Oryza sativa Japonica Group: one gene and its partner. The main gene of each other region encodes a partner of the protein of the gene in region 2 in a complex. Links are inferred from orthologs where the notes say so. Each region holds a gene or a part of one and is shown on either strand. Other genes may lie near its edges. The genes, in order: eukaryotic translation initiation factor 3 subunit K and eukaryotic translation initiation factor 3 subunit A.

Region 1 (11,640 bases), on a different chromosome or scaffold from region 2:
GTACTCTTAATTTGTGGGCTACTTTTACGGGGTCTTCGTACTGCTGGTCAAATAGTCCTATGAAATCGATCATGTCGGCAATATCGTCGTCAATTATCGTGGTCGTGGTTGTTAATGATGTCAAATAAGTCTATGAAAACCTGGTCCTCTTGGTGTTTATGTACCACTGATCGATCCATCATTTGATCTCTGTCATGTTGAGATGGATCGTGTAAGAATATCATAATTTGCTGGATTCAGTCCAGTCGTAATGTATTTTGGTTTGTACAACTGCAATTTTGCTTTGTTTGGATTATAACTGCTGAAAAAATAGAGGGAGAGAAAGACAGGTTTTTTTTTATCGTCTGAATTTCTCATTTGCCAAACAGCAATCAGGTAGATGATCAGAAAACCATTGTTCAGTATTCCTTTTTTTCTGAAAACCCGTACGGTTTTCCTATCTGCTGGCAATCCTGTTTGCCACAACACTTGATCAGTTCATATCATGTTTTATGTTGCAGCTTGCAAAATTTTTTAAAAAAAAATCTGTCATGTTTTATGTTGCAGCTTGCAAAAATTAAAAAAAAAATAAATCTGTCTTTTTCAGCAAGTTTTTTTATTCAGGAACAGTACCGCTACTACAGGGATGTGAAAACCGACGCGCGAAACGGTGGGCGCCTTATGAAACCGTGGTTTTGCGATTTGATTAGTGATATTTTAGTCGGCAATTTGCGCAAATTGCTCTTATCTTTCTTACCTAGATGAGGCCATGACAGTGACTTTGCTCAACTAAATTCCAAATTAAGTTGGGGTTGCAGGATTCTCAAGCAAATATAAAAGTTTAGGTGCGCACACGCAGCAAGCAAAGGCAAATTACCTAATGAGGATGAGCAGAGAACTTGGCAAGGTCTGCAGGGACTAGCATTGTTTAAATGCAAGTTGAGTGTGCCATGGCATTATACACCAGGACCATTACATGCTATACCTAATCTCATCTCCTTCAGAAAAAAAAAACTACTAGTTGCACACTTGCATGATTGCATCTATTATACTATGCATGTAGTCGTAGATAGCTCGGGAAGATAGCCCAATTCGGTGGTCCATGATTCTCCATTGAAGATTGGATCTACCATTCATTGTTCATTTGTTCTTGATATAAAGTTGTGTTGAGTTTCAAATGGCTACTTGAACCTGTTCCACTATCTGAATAATTTTCCCTGCAGATCCTAAGAAAAAAAAAATAGAATCTTCAATTCTCTTGATGATAATTGTTTTCATGGCTTGGAGGGTTTGCACAAGCTTTTCTTATCCTGGCATAGAACTTTCAGGATCAATAGAAGAAACTGAATAATTAGTACCATCATAACCAGCTCCTAACTTCTTTTACTTGGAGAACTACCAGTTGGCCATGCTTATGGTTGTGGAATTGCAAATAGCCCTAAAAATTTTCCTCTAGCCATTTTGTGGAATTCGGATTTTGGTTCTGAATTCCATCAAACAGATAGAACTCCTCCAATTACCTTCATTTCCATCGAAAAAGACCGGTAGAACGTGACCAACTGCCTATTCACAACACACAAACATTGTGCAAGAATTTGTTAGTACTGAGTGCTCCGTTAACAAAACTTCACCAAAAGCAAAAGAAGAGTATAGATGAACACTCATATACGCTTCCTTTCAAAAACAAAACAGAAATCACTCACATATGAAAACATAGATCACCGATCTCTGCTGAACCAATGCACCCTGATGGAAACAACAGCCTTCAGAGTTCAGAGTTCAGATTTCAGTTCAGACACCCACATTGGACATCATAGTATGCATCTGAAAAAGGAGAGAAAACATGAAATGGATCATCAACTTGGGATGCTATAAGTAGCAAAGAAATGACATGGTGGGGTTACACTGTTACGCTTGATGGCATGAAATCTAAGGGTTTCTAACCCTTTCTGCAAATGAGGACAAACGGCTGGTCTTATACTAGTGTTACTCATGGTTTGATGCTTCCAAATTCTGAACTTTATGCAAGTCTGTGGGAGTATAACCAACCCTGGGTAAACACTAAAGACAGGCTGTGGGCTGAAAGAAGAGCCCATGGTATTCTTTCCTACTGTTTTGTGCTATACTAAAGTATACTCTTTTCATGACAGCATCTACACCGGTTCACATTAGCTCCAACCTATTCTAACAAGATTTTGACAGTATCATTTGGAGGGTATATTCAGAAAACCTTTCTTTGTGCACGTGGATATGATTTTGAGTTTTGTCATAATGCTCACATGCCAGAGAGAGAGAGAGAGATTAAGACATCACTGTGTGTTTTGCCATTGGACATTGGACAGTGTTTGGGCGAGCTCCACATGTTAGTGACTAGACTAAGAGCATTAAGATTTACAATTGTTGTATATTCATTCATATCATCAAATGCTCCTTGAATAGGACTCCTTTGGATTAAAGGCACTTCAAAGGAAATTTGGAGGATTTTATTTCTTCGGAAAATTTCCGTATACTAGCTCATTTAGAACAAAGGGATGCCATTGGTCCATCTCTCATAAACACATAATAAGATCCATGCTGCAGCTGGCTACAAATCTATACTCTAGTATGATTTTCTTCTCTCTCTCTTTTCACATGCGCTTGTAGTTACTCCCCCCGTCCCATTTTAATTGCAGTAGAATAGTGTGGGTTTCTGTATCTAACGTTTGACTGTCCATCTTATTTTAAAAAATTAAATAAAATAAGTCACAAATAAAGTATCATTCATGTTTTATCATATAATAATAATAAAAATATTGTTTATAAAAATATTTCAAATAAAACGGATGATAAAACGTTGCGCGCATAAACCCACAATTACATTTAAAATGGGACAGATGGAGTAGTTTATAGCATGCTATTGTATTTGTTGAACCCTTAATCCCAGAAAATCTCCACATCTACTGAACCTTATAGGTGTGTTTGGCAAATGAGTTATGAGAGGTGTGATTGTTAAAGGGAAATAGATGAATGGCTATAATTAAATGAGGTGAGAAGTATGGATGCTAGTGTACAATATTACCCTATCCTTTTTTTCCCAATAAAGTCTATGTCCTTATCCCAGTAAAGTTCACAACATCGAATATCCAATCAATTTAACCTGCAACCAACTTTTGCCACAATTTTTTTAAGGAGACGAATTGACAACGAGGCAGCCCACAGACTTCGGCGCCCACAAGATCGGGAGATAGCGGCCCACGGAGACTAGACAGCCCATCCCCACATCAGCCAGCGACGGCGACGCCGACGACGACGACTTTTCCTCTATTTACCACTCTCCCGCGTCGCGCCATAGCGACGTCTCTCCCGGAGAAAGAAGAGCGCGCCGCGCCATGTGCGGCGGTGCAATCCTCGCCGATTTCACCCCGGCGAGGGTGCCCCGGCGGCTGACCGCCGCCGAGCTCCTGCCGGTGACCCCGACTCCCCCCGCCGCCGAGAGGAGAACCACCCGGAAGCGCAAGTCCGACGTCGACTTCGAGGCGGAGTTCGAGCTTTTCGAGGACGACGACGACGACGATGAGTTCGAGCTTTCCGACGATGGCGACGAGAGTTTGGCCGTGTCATGTGTGTCGTCCCCCAAGTCGAAGGCAGTACCTTCGTTTTCTTGTACGATGAGATGGAGAAATCTTGCCTGCTTTCTTGAAGGATTTTCACCTGACGGCAACCTGAACTTTACACGATTTCTTCTCCTGCTGTTGATTTCATCGATCGCCGGCGGCAGTTTCGTCGGATGTCTCCTCGAGCTCCAGGCCGCGGCGGCGCGTGGCGGCGGCGGCGGCCGGTCGTCGGAAGGCGAGCAAGAAGAGCAAGTACAGGGGCGTCCGGCGCCGGCCGTCGGGGAGGTTCGCGGCGGAGATCAGGGACCCCAAGAAGGGGCGGCGCGTGTGGCTCGGCACGTACGGCAGCGCCGAGGAGGCCGCCATGGCCTACGACCGCGAGGCCCGCCGCATCCGCGGCAAGGGCGCGAGGCTCAACTTCCCCCGCGACGGCGATGGCTCCCCTCGCCGGAGTAACGACCGGCCCTGCTGGACCATCGACCTCAACCTCCCCGCGGCGGCCGTCTCCGGTGACGACGACGACGCCATGGCCGTCGACGCCGCAGACGCAGACGCAGGCAGTGCTGGCCGTGCAGCAGCCTATGCAGGTACTACCACCTCGGAGGATATCTCAAGATGTATTAATACGTGATATATCACTTTGTAAATATGCATGTTTAAAATTAACTCCTACATCTCAAAATAAAATAAAACAATTTAATTGTGAATATACGTTAACTAGTTATAGTTTAATTTATTTTTTTTTCGTTTTTATTTTTTTCGTTGCGGGAGTAGAAGTTGAATTTGAATTTGCATGTGTGCTGGCGGAGAAACTTGGCTCGTAGGCTCGTAGCATGGAGCATTGCCCTGTTCGCATCATATCATACGGTTGAGCTCGATTTTTGCGAAAGAAAGAAAGGATTCCAATATTCTCACTGATGAATGATGATCAAGGTTGATAAAATGAGCGAACTCGATCAAACCAAACCAACAAATTTCGAAGAATCAAGTAGATTTACTAATGTATTGGCGTTGTTGGCTTGTTGCCGTCGCAGATCAAGAAGCACTGAGCGCGGCAAAGTGCAAGATCAAGCAGTGTCCTCGCGACGAACAGATGGCGAGCGCCACACCTGAGCTCATGGAGGAGGACGCGAGCAGCAGCAGAAACATGGTGCCCCTGTCCATGGCGCTGCAGCTGCAGTATGCGGCGATGATCGCCGAATGCGACCGCGAGATGGAGGAGATCGCCGCCGTGGAGAGGGACCTCGAGAGGCGCAGGAGGCAGGTGTTCGAGCGCAGAGGCCACCTGGTCAGGCAGGCCTCTCTTCTGCTCGACTGACGATCTTGCTGAACTGAACTCTGAATGTTTGAGCTTGTCTGAAGTCTGAACTCTGCACTATGCCATATGGTGTTTCACCTTCACTGTGAGGCTGACATGTGGGCCAGACGTCCGTTTGCCTTGCTTGCTTTTGAGCTGCAACTGGGCGTTGTGCTGCAAGCCTGCAAAGTGCCTGTGTAAAGTTTGTGGGATTGTGTGTGTGGATCTTGTATCCTTGTGACTTTGCAAGCTTTAATTTTGTGAGGAACAATAGTATTTTAGATTGGTGTGTAAAATATAGAAATAAATAATAGTAGCAACTAAATTTTGGTTTTCAGCTCTTCATCAGATGGTTTGTCATGGGAACAAAATTTCAAACATGAGCAAATTAAGGTCATGTTATTATCAATTGTGATAGATTTAATAATTACGTACTACCTCTGTTTCAGGTTATAAGGCTTTCTAGCATTACCCACATTCATATACTCCCTCCGTCTTATAATATAACAACCTAATACCGGATGTGACACTTTATAGTACAACGAATATGGACATGCTTCCTGTCCATATTCATTATACTATGAAGTGTCCCATCTAGTTATAGGTTTCTATATTATGGATGGAGGGAGTATATGTTAATGAATCTAGGCACGTATATATATGTATTGATTCATTAACATATATTTAAATGCGGGTAATGCTAGAAATTATTATAATATGAAACGGAGGAAGTAGGTGATAGGATCGTAAGGATGTTCATCATCTGTATAATTGTCCCGCATGTAAAAAAGACGAAATATAATTCGTGTCATCACATCAATCGTATGTGATTGCTCGAGCGTATTTACTAGTATCAATATCATGGTTCCTACCAAAAATAAATCGTCGTCATGAACTCATGGTACTTTTAATAGATTGGTATCATGGAATGAATAAAATGGATCCACTTTTTTCTAAAGGCTCCTATTTCAATTTTTTTTTTCAAAAGTGGCAAGGCCTTGTTCTTTTCTCCAACAAAAGTTCGATAAAATTTTTGATACACGCTGCACGCTTTTCAACTGCTAAATGGTGTGTTTCGTACGAAAACTTTCTATATGAAAGTTGCTCTCAAATATCAAATTAATCTATTTTTCATCAAGTTTGTATTGATTAAAACTTAACTAATAACACCTCAATACCATCTCGTTTTACATAAAACACTTAATACTATCTTTATCTTCATCTTTAAAAGAAAAGAACACCACCTTTGTTAGGATTAGCAATTCTAGTTGTTGCTTATGCCACACCTTTGGTTATTAGCAGGGGTGTCCATGAAATAACCAAACCTTGGAAGGGCACATGCGCATTTCTACCAGCATCTTTTTGCATCCGCGGCACACGAAGTAGGAGTATAAGGATAGCTGAGGGACTAAAGCGAAAAAATTCGCACGAACCCGAAAACCCTTTTCTCCATCGCCTCCCCCTCCGCCGCGCCGCCACTTCTCTCCTCTCCTCCTCTCGCCGCTCCCAGGGTTTCGCGCGAGATCTACTCTAGCATTCGGGCGTTAGGGTTCCCCGAGATGGCGAGCGAGCAGGCGGCGGAGAGCTACACGGTGGAGGAGCTCGTCGCCGTGAACCCCTACAACCCCGACATCCTCAACGACCTCGAGGGCTTCGTCAACGATCAGGTAAACCCTAGCCATGGGATACTTGCGGCCCCGTTTGATTTTGTTCGTGTGATTGTTGGAATTTTGCGAAGGATTGGTCCGTGGCTGTGCTGAAAAAGCCTCGCGCCTTCTCATGTTTACATGGTCCGCAAATCGTTAAATTCTCCTATGAAAAAAAAAATCCTGATTCATATGCGCTATGGCGATAGCTAGAAATAGCAGTATTTGTGTATTTTTTTCGGGCAGACTGTAGTGGAGCACATCGTTGTGGAGGAGTTGTGAATTAAGCGGCAGCACTTGTAAAGAGAATGGTTGCTGTTTGGTACATCAATAAATCTTATTGTCAGTCATCTCAATGCTAACTGATGGATTTTCAATTGATAATATCTGTTGTCGTTGGTCATGAAAGTGGCAAGATGGAGATTTCGGTCAGATGACACACATTCATATCAATATTTGACATGCTGTTTGGCTTACGATTTATAAAGAAACAAACTCAACAGACCTTTTTTTTGTGCTCTAGCTATTGTGAGTATGTGCATGCATCTTTTGTAGCTCATCTGTTTTATTCCAGCATATAAAGAAACAAACTCAACAGACCTTTTTTTTTGTGCTCTAGCTATTGTGAGTATGTGCATGCATCTTTTGTAGCTCATCTGTTTTATTCCAGCATAAGTTTTTGGTTCTAATGCTTTCAAATTTACCGACCTTTTCTTTTCATATAGGTTTCCAACCAAACATATAACTTGGATGCAAATCTTAGTCTTCTTCGTCTGTACCAGGTGACAGTCCATCTCTGTACAAACCGCTTTTACCCATATTTTGGCTCGAGTTATATGTTTATTTAATGATGCGTTTCCCTTTGCAGTTCGAACCAGAAAGGTTGAGTGTGCAGATTGTATCTCGCATATTGATTAAGGTCAGAAAAGAACTAATGTTAACATTAATAAATAAACAATGGTTTTTTGTTGATCACTTCCAACTGTTTTGCTCTCTTTATGTTGTTCTATTGACAGGCTCTCATGGCAATGCCAGGCCCGGACTTCAGCCTATGCTTATTCTTAATTCCAGAGCATGTGGTACGGAAACAATTCCCTGCCTCATGTATATGTCGCATCAAAAACTATCTATCTAATAAAATGCTATTGCGGATGCATCTTAAATAGTATCGATACCCAGTGATCTATTTGTTTTGGTGGTGATTGCCAAATTGACCCTGAAATAACATTATCATATATGTATGCCTAGAGATGTGCAATGTATATATATAATAACATGTAGTTGATGGAATAAAATCATATTCACCATGGATTTGGAATTTAAATATTTGTGCAAGGGAACAATCTTTGCCCATTTAGTCTTAGATATGTAGATATAACAGACCCGAATACTTTATACATTGTGTTTATTATAGCTGTACATCTAGTTCTTTTATTTGTTGGGCTCTGTTCTCTTATCATGTGAGTTTTGACCACTGTCCTCTATGCTCTTCTTATTTCAGCAAATGGAGGAACAGTTCAAGACGTTGATAGTTCTCTCTCACTACCTGGAGGTATGTATCTGGCTTGACTATTGTATATATGTTGAACAGTTAGTGGGATAACCACTGTTAACCGCAATCAACGTCTTTGTAGACTGCTAGGTTCCGTCAATTTTGGGATGAGGCGTCGAAGAACCGCAACATATTGGATGTTGTTCCAGGTATGTCTTGTGGAATTGGAGCCATGTTTTGTTCACACGTTGTGAAGTGGTAATTGTTGCAAGCTAGATGATTGTACTGGTATTTCCCCCTCCATTTTCCTGATTGATTTGGCCAATTGGGTGTGACTGATAAACTGTACCTTTTCTGATTACTTTATTTCAGCATTTTCTCGCACAACTCATATTTTAGAAAGTAACTTTGTGACTTATCATCGTTTAGACGTTTACCATGTGTTTATGTGGCATGTTCATGCCCGCGTTGTCATGTAAATGAGTATGTATTAGTATCCTAGATGCCCAGAGATTGGTTACCATATCAAGCAGTCTTGAGCGAACTTCTGTTTGATTCTTTCTACTGACTACTGAGGAATTCTTTTTAATCTAACATGAACTACCTATGGATTATTTTTATGAATGTTTGCTATATTGGACACTTTCTTATGGCAATTGATATGGATTCTTTCCGTTTGACCTAATGGTGAAGTGTTTTTTTTTTTTGAAACACTAGTGAAGGCTTACTTAACTAATCCCTTTACAGGTTTTGAGCAGGCAATCCAATCCTATGCGATACATGTGCTCTCCTTGACATACCAGAAAGTTCCTAGGCCTGTTCTTGCGGAGGTAAATGATGTCATTTTAAATTAATTATTACACGAGTCCTCGAGGGAGCATGAGTTTTCATTCAATCCTTTTTGTTTAAACTTTAGATGACCAAGGATTCGTGGTAATATTAAGTTTCATATTACTAATGCTACAAATATTTGTTACGCCAGAAGTGTCACCATCATCATCCAAATTTTGCTATCATTTAGGTGTTATTGGTTGCCTCGCACATGGATTGTCCCTTGTTGGCTGAAACTCATTACTTTTCTTTTCAGGCCATCAACATTGAGGGTCTTGCATTGGACAAGTTCCTGGAGCACCATATTGCAAACTCCGGTTGGGTGATCGAGAAGGGTGCACGATCTCAGCTGATTGTCCTTCCACGCAACGAGTTCAATCACCCTGAGCTCAAGAAGAACACAGCTGAAACTGTTCCGTTCGAGCATGTAACTCGCATATTCCCTGTCCTTAGCTGAGTCAACAACCAGACCAACTGAGATTTTGCATTACAGAACTTCTGAGCGCGTGAAGATACTCTGGGCGCATCTGTTTTCTCTGCTGTGATGTACTGCGTTTTGATATGCCTGTTTTAGCTAAACAAGTCAATTCTAGTGACGATCCGAGCGTCATATCTGCCTAGTTATGTTTATGTAAGCATTCTGCCATGATATTACATTGTTGGCAAGATATTTTATCAGGTCAGAGCAAAATTTTGCATAGCGGCCGTGTTCGGCTTTGGGCACAACTCGATCTTCCATTTACCACGAGACTACAACCATTCCTCGTTGTCAGATTTTTGCGATTGCTAGTGTTCTGTTGCGTAGGGGACTCATTGTGAAAAAAAAAACCCGTATGTGGTCGGTGTAAAAACGGATTGGTTTTAGCCTATTTTTTCGTACGGAGTTGGCTTGTAGTAGTTGCATTTTTTTACCAGTTTTCGTTTAGTTTTCCGCAAAAGTGGGGAGTGGTTTTGACTTCCAAAAACAGGATAATAAACTCTTATTACCACAAGCATCTCTTAGAAAAAACAAATATGTATATCATTTCATCGAGCGAAACAGCTTGGATATCGATTTTTGTTGTCGCTGGCAAAAGAAACCGCCCAAATTCATATTGAGGAAAAAGGAGTAAATTCACATGAACAGGGGGTCTTTCTGCAAAAAGAAAAAAAACTTGGGCCGGCCCATGCACACCCTGCCCAAGGAGAGTCGCTGCCTCACCTAAACGCCAATTAGGGTTTTCAGGGGGGCGGAGATATAATGACATAAAAGCCCCTCTCCTTCCTCCTCCCTTCTCCTTCGCGCCGCCACTCTCTCCGAGCTCTCGCCTCTCCTCCTCCCCCGTCTTCCCTTCGCGCGCGCCACCCCCACACACGCGACCATGGCGGCAGTGGCAGGAGGCGCAGCGCGGGCGCTGTCGCAGGCGGAGCAGGACGTGCAGATGATGCTCGCCGCCGACGTCCACCTCGGCACCAAGAACTGCGACTTCCAGATGGAGCGCTACGTCTACAAGCGCCGCTCCGATGGTACGCATGCACCCACCCCCACCTACAGGCATCTCACCCGGCTCTGCTTGTTCGTCGATGCTCACAGCTAGCCATTACAATGTTCTTGCCATGAGATTTCCTACGTAGGATAGGTTTACCATGTTCTTGCCACTAGATTTCCTAGGTTGGATTGGTGTGGATTGTGCACTTGTATCATAGTGCTCGCCTTTGTTCATGCTTTGTTAGTATCCTAGCTTTAGCTAAGTATCCAACTTGTTGTGAGCTAGAATTATTACGGCATGGTGCTCAACTTGATCTGATTTCGTGTCATATCGTGTGTGGCATAGTTGCATTGCAACCTGTTGCAAGGTATGCTGCTGTTCTTTTGGGAGGGTATCTTGAATATGAATACGTGAACATCGTTGCTGCAATTCATAGGTATCTACATCATCAACCTCGGCAAGACATGGGAGAAGCTGCAGCTCGCGGCGAGGGTGATTGTTGCCATTGAGAACCCCCAGGACATCATTGTCCAGTCGGCCCGCCCCTACGGCCAGCGCGCCGTCCTCAAGTTCGCGCAGTACACTGGCGCGCACGCCATTGCTGGAAGGCATACGCCTGGTACATTTACCAATCAGCTCCAGACCTCCTTCAGCGAGCCCCGTCTGCTCATCCTCACTGACCCAAGGACCGATCACCAGGTGAAAATGATCACCATGTCACGGTAGTGCGTTGGTGAATTGGGTACAGTATTGTTTACTGATCGTGTTATCCTGAATTATGTCTGCAGCCAATCAAGGAGTCTGCTCTGGGAAACATCCCGACCATTGCCTTCTGTGACACCGATTCCCCAATGCGGTATGTCGATATCGGCATCCCGGCCAACAACAAGGGGAGGAACAGCATTGGGTGCCTGTTCTGGCTCTTGGCTAGGATGGTTCTGCAGATGAGGGGTACTATCCTCCCTGGCCACAAGTGGGATGTTATGGTATGCGGTGTTATTACTTCAAGAACACGTTGACATTGGAAGTGCATTCATGAAGATAATTTCATATCCTTTGTATGCTTATACACTGAGTATGTCTTTTGCAGGTTGATCTGTTTTTCTACAGAGACCCTGAGGAGGCCAAGGAGCAGGAGGAGGAAGCTCCAGCACAAGACTTTGCTGCCATCACTGATTACACCGCACCTGAACAATGGTCTGCTGACCAGTGGACCTCTGATGTGGCTGCTCCCCCAGCTGCTACTGTTGGTGATTGGGGCGCAGCTCCAGGTTTGTGGTTTATCCCCTTCTAATATATTTATATTTTTAACCAGGTATATAACTGTTGTGGA
Region 2 (10,513 bases):
GTTTGTTTGTATGTATATACAACTGTTCTTCCCACTATCAACAAAATAAAGAGTAATGTTCTTTTCGATCATACATAAATTTATATGCATGCAACAAAAGCGGACGTAAAGCATGCATGAAAATTTTCATGCATTGACATTTACTAATGTACTAGCCGATAACCCAGTACCTGTAGCAGTCATTCGAGTTGATTTCTACAATTCAGCATCACAACGGTAAAACATAGCACAACTGTGCCAGTACTAAGCAGAAAGCATCTTTAGTTCTCATTTTTTGAGCAGTCAATAGAACAATTCGAACCACCGACTGAAGTTCAAATTAGCCAACACAGATGAAACGAAGAAACGACGAGACATAAAAGTCACAATCACCGAACCGACTTTGTATCAGTACAACGTCAGAATCCACAACGTTGGAATAAAGAGTGACCAACATAAAAGATAAGACAACTAAAATTCTTTTCACGCGCCAAAAACCAATTCAACTAGTGCCGCTGGAGTTTAATCAACGTTGCCACCTTCAAGGGCTTTCTGGCCATCTTGCCGCTTCTTGTCATTAGGTTCAGAAGAGCTACGGTGATCATGATGGTGATGGTGGTGGCGGTGGTGGTGACGATGGTGTCCGGTCTTGTGAGGCCTTTTACCATTTCTCACCTTTTCATATTCACCGGCAGCTGCATCATCGGATGACTCCTCCAGGGAGCGACTCCTACGGTGCTTATGGTTGTTGGAATCTGATGTTGCATCCTCATCGCTTGATCTATGATGTTTCTTATGTCTTGACCTGCCCCTCTCCTCAGACTCAGACCCTGAGTCATCACCAGATGATCGGTGGTGGTGGTGCCTGTGACTCCTGGAACTGGAATGGTCCTTCTTGGAAGATCTCCTCTCTTCATCATCGCTGCTATAGTCTGAAGCATCAGAATCAGACCTTGATGAATGTCGGCGATGCTTTCTCCTGTGTGAGCGCTTCTTCCTTCGATTTTCTTCTTCAGACCCACTATCATATTCATCACTATCAGTATCATCGCTTGAGTCTGAGCTTCTCCTCTTTGATCTGCGCTTGTGCCTCTTGGCTTCATCGGAATCAGAGTGACCGTGTTTCCTGTGCCTTTTGCGGTCCTTCCTCTTCCTGTGCTTCCGATCACCATCACTGTCGGAATCACTTTCAGAGTCTGAGGAAGAATGGCCCCTCCTTCTGTGCTTTCTTGACTTAAGCTTCTTTTCCTTTGCTTCAGCATCAGCTTTTGCCTTCGCTGCTGCTTCGAGCTTTTGCTCCCATTTCAGTGGGGCTTCTTTCTTCTCAAGGATTCTCTTCTTTTTCTCTTCAAGCAGCTGTAGGAACTTCTTGGAGTCCATCCCGACAGATCAGCTACAGACTTAAAACCTGTAGGGCCGTGAAATGATGCAAGGAGGTGCATCTCATAGAAGAGACAAAATCACTGTTAGTTTTTGAAATATCTAGAATAATATAGCATGATAACAGACAGCAAAAATATAAGCTGAACCCAAAATAGATAAAATAAACCTAGGCAAAACTGACATCCAAATACATTGGAAATCAGGCATACATGAAATCGATCCCCCCAAAATACAACTATAGAAGAATAGAATGTCTTGTTTAGGCTTCACGTAAAAAGCAAAGCAAGCTTATGCGGTTCAAATATTTGAGCAAACTTCCACTAAGCATCTAAATCATGTTGCTAGTAGCAGCAGACTTGCAGCTTCTCAGCTTTCTGAGTTCATATAGCTATATAAACAAGAGACTTTGGTGTAATATTTATCCAAAATGATGAGAAAAGACTACAGACAGTCAACACAGATGGTGTTAATATGTATCCAAGAAAAAAAAAAGAATTGGATATGGCGCCAGTTTAAAGATGGATGTAATTTTGAATTCCAGAGACATGTATAGGGTACAACTCCTTACACGAACACGGATGGTAGAAACAGCTTGGTAGCAGAGTTGTTGTTAACTAAAGACGCGCATAATGTGAATTATATACACTTTCTTACCTTGTCGTCCGTAAGCTTCAAATGTCCAGAAAAGATCCCTCCTTTTTCCCCTTTTACTGAGCCGATAGTTCACCTGAAACAACAAGAGAAAATGTGTGAATTCGTAGCGGATATGACGTAGCTTTCAGCAAGCAACTTCTCGAGTCGCCCCCTGATCTCGATGGGAATATATATGCACAAAAAAGCATATCGGGGCATAGCCATAGCCCACAGGTAGTCTGGGCCCAATTCCCATCCCTAGCGGGGGGGTGTTCGCGGCAACGGTGAGGCGACGGAATTTGAAAAACCGAAGCCCCACGAAGATTCCAGCGACGAGTCAGATCTGAATTGCGAGGGAACCCTAGAACAAGGACGAACCGCGCCCAAACCCTAGACGCACAGCACAAAAACCTAGCCACCCACTCAGAATCTCCCGCGGCTCGCGCGTCTATACGTACAGATCCGGAGCCTGAGCAATCCGCACCACGCGATCTAAGCCCTCACCACGAATCTATCTAGTAAGAAAAAAAATTCAAAAAAAAAGTTGGGGAGGAGAGAAGTGGATGGATGCAGCAAGCGGTGCAGAGGAGGGGGGGGGGGGAGAGGAGAACTCACTGGATTGGACGGGAGACGCCGCCGCGAGGGGAAGAGAAGATCTGGAGCAGCCGCCGCGTCGAGGAAGGAGGAGAGGGGTAAGGCGGCGCGCGGAGGAGGAAGAGAGAGAGAGAGAGAGGCGGAGTGGACCGAGCCTACCGACTAGATAAAGAAAGAGCAGAGCGCGTGGCGTGGGGGGGGGGATGGCCCACACGGCAGTGACAGCGTGTGGAACCTTGCTCTTTGCCCAACTCAAGTTGCCGACGCCTTTCTTTTTTTTTTCACTTTTCGTTTTCTTTCGAAAAAAAAAATTTGAAACTGGGGTGGTAGAATGTTGGTATTCACAGGAACCGTTGGATCGAGAACGTGCGATAAAAGGAGACAAGCGAACGCATCCTGCCTCCCAACTCCATTCCGAGTTTCTGATTACCAGATGGATTTACTGGGCAAAGCCAATGGGATGCCAAAAATGACAACACTCATCGAATTTTGGCATGATGTAGAGGGATGGCATTTCATGTTGTACAGTTCAGTTCATTGCCATCCATACTTCTATGCAAGGTCAAACAGATTGGCAGTCTCATACTTCTATGCAAGGTTAATGTTTTACTTGAGCAACATTGGAGAACGTTAATGCTTTACTTGAGCAACGTAGGAGACCGCGGATAGGTAAGGTTGTATTTCCGGTGCAAATCGAGCTCCGAAATCCCAGTGCATCAAACTACCAACTGCTAGCAGTGCGTTCCTGCTTGGGGTACACCACCATGATTCATGTTTCCGCCAACTCTTCGTCAAAGCTTCATCCGAGTTTGGTGTTAATCAAGATCAACAAGTCATATTAGTTTGATGATAATCAAAAGAAATGCGATGTACTTGTAGCAACGACCAAACGAACAAAGACACAAAGACAAGGGCAATATTCCAGTATTACTAACAGCGCCAAAGTTTGGACAAACTTAACGAGTAGCAATCCAGTGTGCAATGGAGTAACTGCAACAACGAAATAACATTTGACATAACTTAGGAAAGGTGCTATTGCCCTGAAGCAGGTCCTAACTCCAAAATTTTACGAGCATTTGATGCGCAAACAGTCAAACATTCAACCATGTTTCACAGGCTTATCTCAGCAATGGCCCTGGACAGCAAAAAATCTCACCCTAGCAGTCCACATCTGAAAGCAGACGGCTTCAGTTGCGCCTGCTGCTCCAGGTTGAGGAAGATGATGAACTTGAGTATCTTGAAGGTCGCCATGTGCCTGGAGGACCATCTTGGCGGGCTGGGGGAGCAGCATCGCGAGCAGGGGGTGCCTCTTGGCGGAGCGGACGCATATCAGGACGTGGGCGATCATCCCGTGAACCCCAACGGTCTTGCTCAGGTGCCACAGCAGGTCTCTGGCCGCCAGCACTACTGCCACCATCACCACCTCGTTTAAACTTCGGGACATACTTACCAGCAGCTGGTGCAGCAGCGGCAGCAGCAGCAGCCGGTGCAGCTACCGGCTGAGCTGGCTGTGCAACCGGAGCAGCATCAGGAGTGCGTGCAGGCTCAGCAGCTCCAGCTCCTCTTCCCATGAGAGCTTCCATTCTCTGTTTTTCCTTCTTCTCTTCTAGTTCCCTCTCTCTCTGCAGCTGCTTGGCTGCAATTGCATCCAGCTTAGCCTTCCTCTCAGTCTCTTCCCTCTTTCTCCTCTCTTCCTCTGCAGAGAAGGTGAAATCATTATCAACAATATGTATAAGCTAGAATTTGATTTCATTGCATCAGGCAAAAAAAAAAAGATCCGCAAGATAATTATGCACAAGCAAATCACACTTTGATGCCAAATAACATTTTAAGTTTTAAAGCTATCCATTGTCTAAGGGCTTGTTCACTTTGATGCCATTTTCAATCTTACCAAATTTTGTTAAAGTTGCAAGAAAAGTGGCTACATTTAGTTTGTTGCCAAATTTTGGTAACTATATAAGAAATCCTGCTAAAATTTTGGCAAGTTGCCGAAATTTTGGCTATGCCAAAATTTGGTAAGGTTTTTTTTGGCATCAAAGTGACAGGCCCTAAGTAACACAGGTCCATACTGCAGTAAAGTCACAGTAATTCAACAAGCAATGTTCACTAATTCTCAAGAAATTCCAAAATTAGCTGGACGATATATGGCAGTGTAAATTAATCTAATCTAATAAGGTAAGATAAGAACAAGTATTTCAAAGCACAAAGTCATGAATTCTTGCCTTCACGTTTTCTAGCTTCCTCTTCCTCACGGAGCCTTTGGAGGCGCTGCTCTTCTAAGTTAAGATAGTACATTAACTTCCGCACTGTATCCCTTTCACGCTTCCTTGATGATATCAATTGACTAGTCCTTTCATCCCTCTCTTTCTTAAGACGACTAAACTCAGCTTCACGACGTTGGACAATTCTTTCCTGGAAAATGTTCTGCAAGCAAAAAGGGCAATTTAAAATATGTGCGAAGGAGAGAAGACAGCTGTCTATTCCCTGACAGGAACAAATCGCCTGGTGTATTCAAATGTCTAGTGCTCAAATCATGTGAACACACACATAGCCAAAGAAGACATGCCAATATTAGATTCTCAGCAAGTATAGCACATATTATATGTTAAATTAATCTGTATCTAATCAGACCTTTGCACAGATAATATACTAAGTATTTCAACTGTTATGCTTGGAATTGCAAAACATGGTTTCGGAAAAACACAGGATTAATTACAGTGGGACATTTGGTCCTTCAATTAACTAAAAAGAAGATGAAATAGTGCAAGAATATCTGGTCTGAATACAGATATGTATTTGCTTACCTTATGCTCCAACATTCGAGAAAGTCTGTTCTTCTCCTGCAGGTCACCTGCATGGTGTTGCTTGCTGAGCTCAATCTCTCTCTACAAGAAGAGATTAATAGTGATTTTTGTGAGCTTAAGTAATCATATGCTATTGTAATGTGACAATCAAGGAATTGTGAGAAACAAACCAGCTGCTCTTGCTCATGAAGGATTTTCTCTACTTCAAGGCGTTTTTGAAAAGCTTGCTCAATTAGAGGTGCCTCTTCCTGCCTTTTTGCCCTCTCCAAGTAATCCATTTGCTTACCAGTCTTCTGTAGTTTTTTCTCCATCTCTTGGCGCTCCTTAAACTGCTCATTCATAGCCAATTCCATCACAGCCTCCTTAGTAACTTCCTGCAATGAAAACATTCAAAGTATAAAGGGCCTGTGTGGAGAAACAAATATTAAGCTGTAATTGGCTTGGGATAGTACAACTTTATAGTTCCGACTTCGGAGAAGACAATCAATTCTTAATATGAAACAAGAGTAGGACACTACAGAATATAAAGATTCAAATATCATCTGCGTTCTGCGTTCTTGTAGTCTATAATGGTTAGCCACAAAACATAAAAAACAGCATATTAGCACACCCTCTACTACTCCACTAGAATTTCTGAGCAGTTAAGACAAAAAAGAATCAATATTGGACTGAACAAACAGACATAACTAATAAGCATATTGATGAAACAGAAGTCTTCACAACAAATATAATGCCTTACACAAAAAGAAATATATAATGAAATATCGAGCAAATATAAATTGAGCAATACATTAAACAGAAAAAAAAACATTATCAACAAATAACTAGTCAGCGTAATAAATAAAATATAATGATTGGAAACTAATTATTCTCACCCCCTGAAGGACAGGTTTTTTTCCTCCTCTCTTTGCTATCTCCTTTATCTGTTTCTGAAGCAGTTCTTCTGCCTCTATCTTTTCTTTTTCAACCAATTGTCGACGGATCCTCTCCTGTTCCCTCAATTTTACATCATTGAGAAGCCTTATCCTTTCATCTTCTGCAGATTTCTTGAGAACACTCAATCTCTTTTTTTCTTCTTCCTTTTCCTGGAAAAGAGAGAATATGACATAAGCAGAAATTCACAGAGTTGGCCACTTTGAACAGTACCAAATAGACACCTTTTCCAATATTTGGCGCTCAAGATCTTCTTTGCGTTTTTCAATAATTGATTTCCTCGCAAGAAGACGCTTGTGCTCATTCTCCACTACTGCAGCAAGACTCGTTAAGTTTTCACCAAGCTTGGATGGCTTCTTCACAGGTGGATGGATAAGGCTCCTTGCTTTATTTAGAGAATCAGCCAAAACACTTAGGTGATTACTGAGACAATCAGATTCAATGTCCTACAAACAGAAACCAGTCAGAATAAAATTGATGTCACAGGTTAATAATTAATAAAACTGAAGTCCCGAAATTGACAGCACAAGAACCAGTACTGTCTGATATTTGGCATTAAAAGCAAACAAACTAGAACGTATTAAAACCAAAAGATACCAACATCAGGCACTACATAGTCACTTGAAAATCTAAAAAATAAAAAATAATATAACATAGTTAAATATAATGTTGAGAATGAGAATGCGAGTTACAGCTATGTACAATTACCAGATTACCAAAAATGTCTACGACAGTGACACCTAGTTTAAAATCTGAAGCAAAATAAATCAAGCAAGAATTTTCTTCAGACTTTCTTTTTTATTACAAATAACATACAATACACTCGATTTGGCAAATATACCTAGGGCTAAATGCCAGTTCCATAAACCCAGTGGTAAAAACAAGCCACATGAACCAGTTAGTGGCAAAAATAAGTTGACAATATTTTATCATGGAAAACACTCTGCCACAAGGATCTGCTGGTTCCAACACATAGCACAAATATTGTAACAGAGGCACAAAGAACCATGCCCTAAGTCTTAGTGGTAAGACAGCATATACAATTGAGTCAACACATTTTTGTTCTACACTACAAAGGCTGTCGAAAGTGAATGAAAATAGTGGTTGTCATGTACCAATTGTATCTTGGCCATCAGTTCAAACTATGGTCTCTATGAATATTTCAACTTTAGAGGAAATAATTTGGCGAGGATAAATATGCATACCACAATGAACAGAACAACCAACTTCTATACTGATGCTTACAGGGAAATAAAACAATAAAAAAGTAAATTCCACCAATAAGAACACTGAGAAGGCTAAAGTGGCCAACAGACTTGAGGAACTAAACCACATACCATTTTCCCAAAATGGACAGCTCCTGATAAATGGTTGACTTTCATAGCAACAAAATTGTGTTTCACGGCATCAACAGAGATCTTCTCAACAACAGAAAAGTCAAAGAATGGGATCATTCTTGAGAGCATATCAATTTTCACAGACTGAAATATCTGGGAAGCCTGAAAAAGAACAAAAGGGTGCATAAACCACGTGTTAACCAAAGAATAACGTAAAAGATCATGAGAAAAGAGAACTTATACTTCCTGTACAGTGTGCCATTGAACATACCTGTTGCAACACCCTTAAAGTTGTTAACTTCTCCAAAGCAGGAAGGTACTGTGACAGAAAAACTTCTGGAACCAAGGGAGCTGATGAAAGCTTCCCTCCAATCTTTGAAATCTTAGATAGCAGTGGCTGTGCTTTGGATACGAGATCCAGAGGAAGAAAATCGTGTTCCAAAAGGTTGTATAAATCTTTGACATCTTGTGAAGCACAGGCAATGACACCTTTGGCAGCCTAAATTTATAAATATCAAGTCAAGCAAGCACAAGAAGAGAAATTCAATTATGCATGATAAATGGAGTACAAATTACTGGATACAACCCTACCAACCCTATAATACTGACAAAAAGAATTGAATGAACTATCCATGTCAGCTATCCCATCGACAACTGACGAGAGTGCAAAACTCAACAGAATAGTTTGATAAATAAAAGGACCCAGGATTCAGCACATACCAGCTCAGAAAAAAGAGATGCTCTTGATGGCTGCAATGGTGACAGGAGATATGTCAGGAAGATAATAAATAAAATTATTCAAAATATTCTTTGCTTTGAAAAAGATCTGGAGGGCTAACCACTTCTCTATTCTCACGCTTGGAGTCAAGGGAGAAGTTGACGAGATTAGCTATCCGCAGATTACGATCTTTCTCATTTTCAAGCTCAAGATGAGATGCGCCATATTTATGGTCATATGGTGACACGGCAAGTGCAGCAAGCAAAACAGAAGAAGCTATTAATTGAAGGTCCTTCTGAGACAAGTTCTTATTGTAGCTTTTCTGCAAGTAGAATAGCTTAAGCCATGCATATGCATGATACAAGTGGCAATCAGATATCCAGAATATTTCAGTCAACTTGGCATAATACACAACCAGGACAGATGGTTTTGGTGTTTTCTTCACCATGCTCATCAAGCCATGGATGTCTTCCACAGACCTAAAGGCCTCCTGCAAGAAGCAAAGCTTTACGATCATACAGCAAAGATGATTCACTTGGCATAAAAAAGGTTAAAAAATATAAGGAACGGACCTGCCAGAGAGAGAGCTCTGTAGCAATTTTTAGTTGTTCAACTCTAGTGTCCAGGTATAGCTGTAAGCTTTCTGGGGCAGTCAGATCAGGACGATCTCGCTGGTCACGGTATTTGTTCAAGTTAGCAAGATGATTTCTTATTATCTCGCACAACCTACGGAATTCAGTCGTTCTCTTATACTGCTTACAAAATTGAAAAGCCTTGTGAGCAGTCATCTGCAAAATGAGAGATTAAAAAGGGTTTAGATGCATTGGCAAATGCAAAAGTACTTGGTACAGAAGACTATGTGCAGGAAATCAATTTCACAATTCAGAAATTTATTTAAGGTTCTGGAAAAAAACAGGAGTAAAATCTGCCTAAACCAAATTGGCAATTACACAGAGATCTGCATAAATATAAACAGACATAGTGCAGAGAGAATGCAATTATGGTAATTGAATCATCATGTTAAACTTCTGGCACCATTACCAAATTAAGCCATAATAATGTGATAATGACATAGTGTACAACTATTTTATTAGATGACATAGGAAAAATATGAAGCAGTTAAAGTAGGAACTCTAATAATACAGCATATGATAATGTGATTGAACAATGATGACCAAGAGTACTATAATAGCACTAGAAGGAAATCCAATTGGTGGTATGGCAGTAGAGCGGTGAATTAGGTGTGTTTATTCACATTATTGTTTTGAAGACACTAGACGGGCAGAAGCGCAGCATCGAGGCAATCACGATTAAGATCATTGATTGTGTACACAAAATGGAACAGCCAGATGAAATGCCATGTCATGTGTGAAGAGTATGTATACAGGAATAAGGGGAACACAGATAGAATAGCTTACAGCATATAATGCTTCAAGCTTTGAATTGTTTCTCAATATCTCAAGAACTGTTCTGTATGTTTCCCAGAGAAACTTGAACCATGGTGTGACATGCTCTCTGTCTGATCGGTCCTTCCCTTTCTCCCCGCTGACATAGCTGAGCATCAAATCCTCAGGCCGCTTGTCTGCTTCCAGATCTTCTACATCCAGGGCATCTTCCAGTGCTTGCGCCTGGTTCCTTGCTTGCTCTGCTTTCTCATTGGAAAGCTGCATGAAGTGTTTTATCACCTCCTCCAAGGATGACACATTCACTTGCTGGCAGACAATCCTGTACTGAATAAGGCCATCTTTCGCAAACCTGCCCTTCCTCAGGTCTACACAGAGCTCCACATACTTCATCATAATCCTTTCGAGTGGCTTTTGCCATGACCTGTATCTTTTTGAAGTGATGAGATCATGTAACGCCTGTAGCGCTGCCTGCTTCTGCCCAACATGTATCAACTCTGAAGTAGAGCAGAGGGCCATCATCAGTAAAAATAAAATGTTTTCCGAAGTATGTATAATTGAACACATCTAAGAACTAGCACGAACGAATCAACAAGTATTTCTGTAAGATTGAACGACCAGCCATGGTCTGTTAATTTGTCTATGACGGGAGGAATCAAACACCGCTCTTTTCGAATTCCATGCTTACAAAACAGTGAAAACTGGTCCCCTAAATAAACATAACAGATC

What was found.
Region 1: eukaryotic translation initiation factor 3 subunit A (region 2) and eukaryotic translation initiation factor 3 subunit K share a complex: the UniProt entries of both Arabidopsis thaliana proteins name them as parts of the eukaryotic translation initiation factor 3 (eIF-3) complex. The link is inferred for Oryza sativa Japonica Group from reciprocal best matches to the Arabidopsis thaliana genes EIF3A and EIF3K.

What each region holds. Positions count from the first base shown.
Region 1 is NC_089037.1:4,348,022-4,359,661, reverse strand, and holds eukaryotic translation initiation factor 3 subunit K, read left to right. Parts: upstream 1-6,294; 5' UTR 6,295-6,428; coding exon 6,429-6,536; intron 6,537-7,240; coding exon 7,241-7,297; intron 7,298-7,383; coding exon 7,384-7,434; intron 7,435-7,531; coding exon 7,532-7,594; intron 7,595-8,016; coding exon 8,017-8,067; intron 8,068-8,149; coding exon 8,150-8,216; intron 8,217-8,754; coding exon 8,755-8,837; intron 8,838-9,094; coding exon 9,095-9,295; 3' UTR 9,296-9,560; downstream 9,561-11,640. Other genes in the region: ethylene-responsive transcription factor RAP2-12, read left to right, coding at 3,348-3,621, 3,737-4,159, 4,607-4,890; 40S ribosomal protein SA, read left to right, coding at 10,200-10,344, 10,744-11,006, 11,096-11,293, 11,398-11,578. UniProt on the Arabidopsis thaliana protein: Component of the eukaryotic translation initiation factor 3 (eIF-3) complex, which is involved in protein synthesis of a specialized repertoire of mRNAs and, together with other initiation factors, stimulates binding of mRNA and methionyl-tRNAi to the 40S ribosome.
Region 2 is NC_089035.1:1,175,634-1,186,146, forward strand, and holds the end of eukaryotic translation initiation factor 3 subunit A, read right to left. Parts: intron 10,282-10,513; coding exon 9,800-10,281; intron 9,170-9,799; coding exon 8,954-9,169; intron 8,872-8,953; coding exon 8,503-8,871; intron 8,414-8,502; coding exon 8,384-8,413; intron 8,163-8,383; coding exon 7,935-8,162; intron 7,826-7,934; coding exon 7,664-7,825; intron 6,773-7,663; coding exon 6,551-6,772; intron 6,479-6,550; coding exon 6,269-6,478; intron 5,768-6,268; coding exon 5,564-5,767; intron 5,475-5,563; coding exon 5,394-5,474; intron 5,014-5,393; coding exon 4,812-5,013; intron 4,286-4,811; coding exon 3,777-4,285; 3' UTR 3,494-3,776; downstream 1-3,493. Other genes in the region: uncharacterized protein, read right to left, coding at 502-1,359. UniProt on the Arabidopsis thaliana protein: RNA-binding component of the eukaryotic translation initiation factor 3 (eIF-3) complex, which is involved in protein synthesis of a specialized repertoire of mRNAs and, together with other initiation factors, stimulates binding of mRNA and methionyl-tRNAi to the 40S ribosome.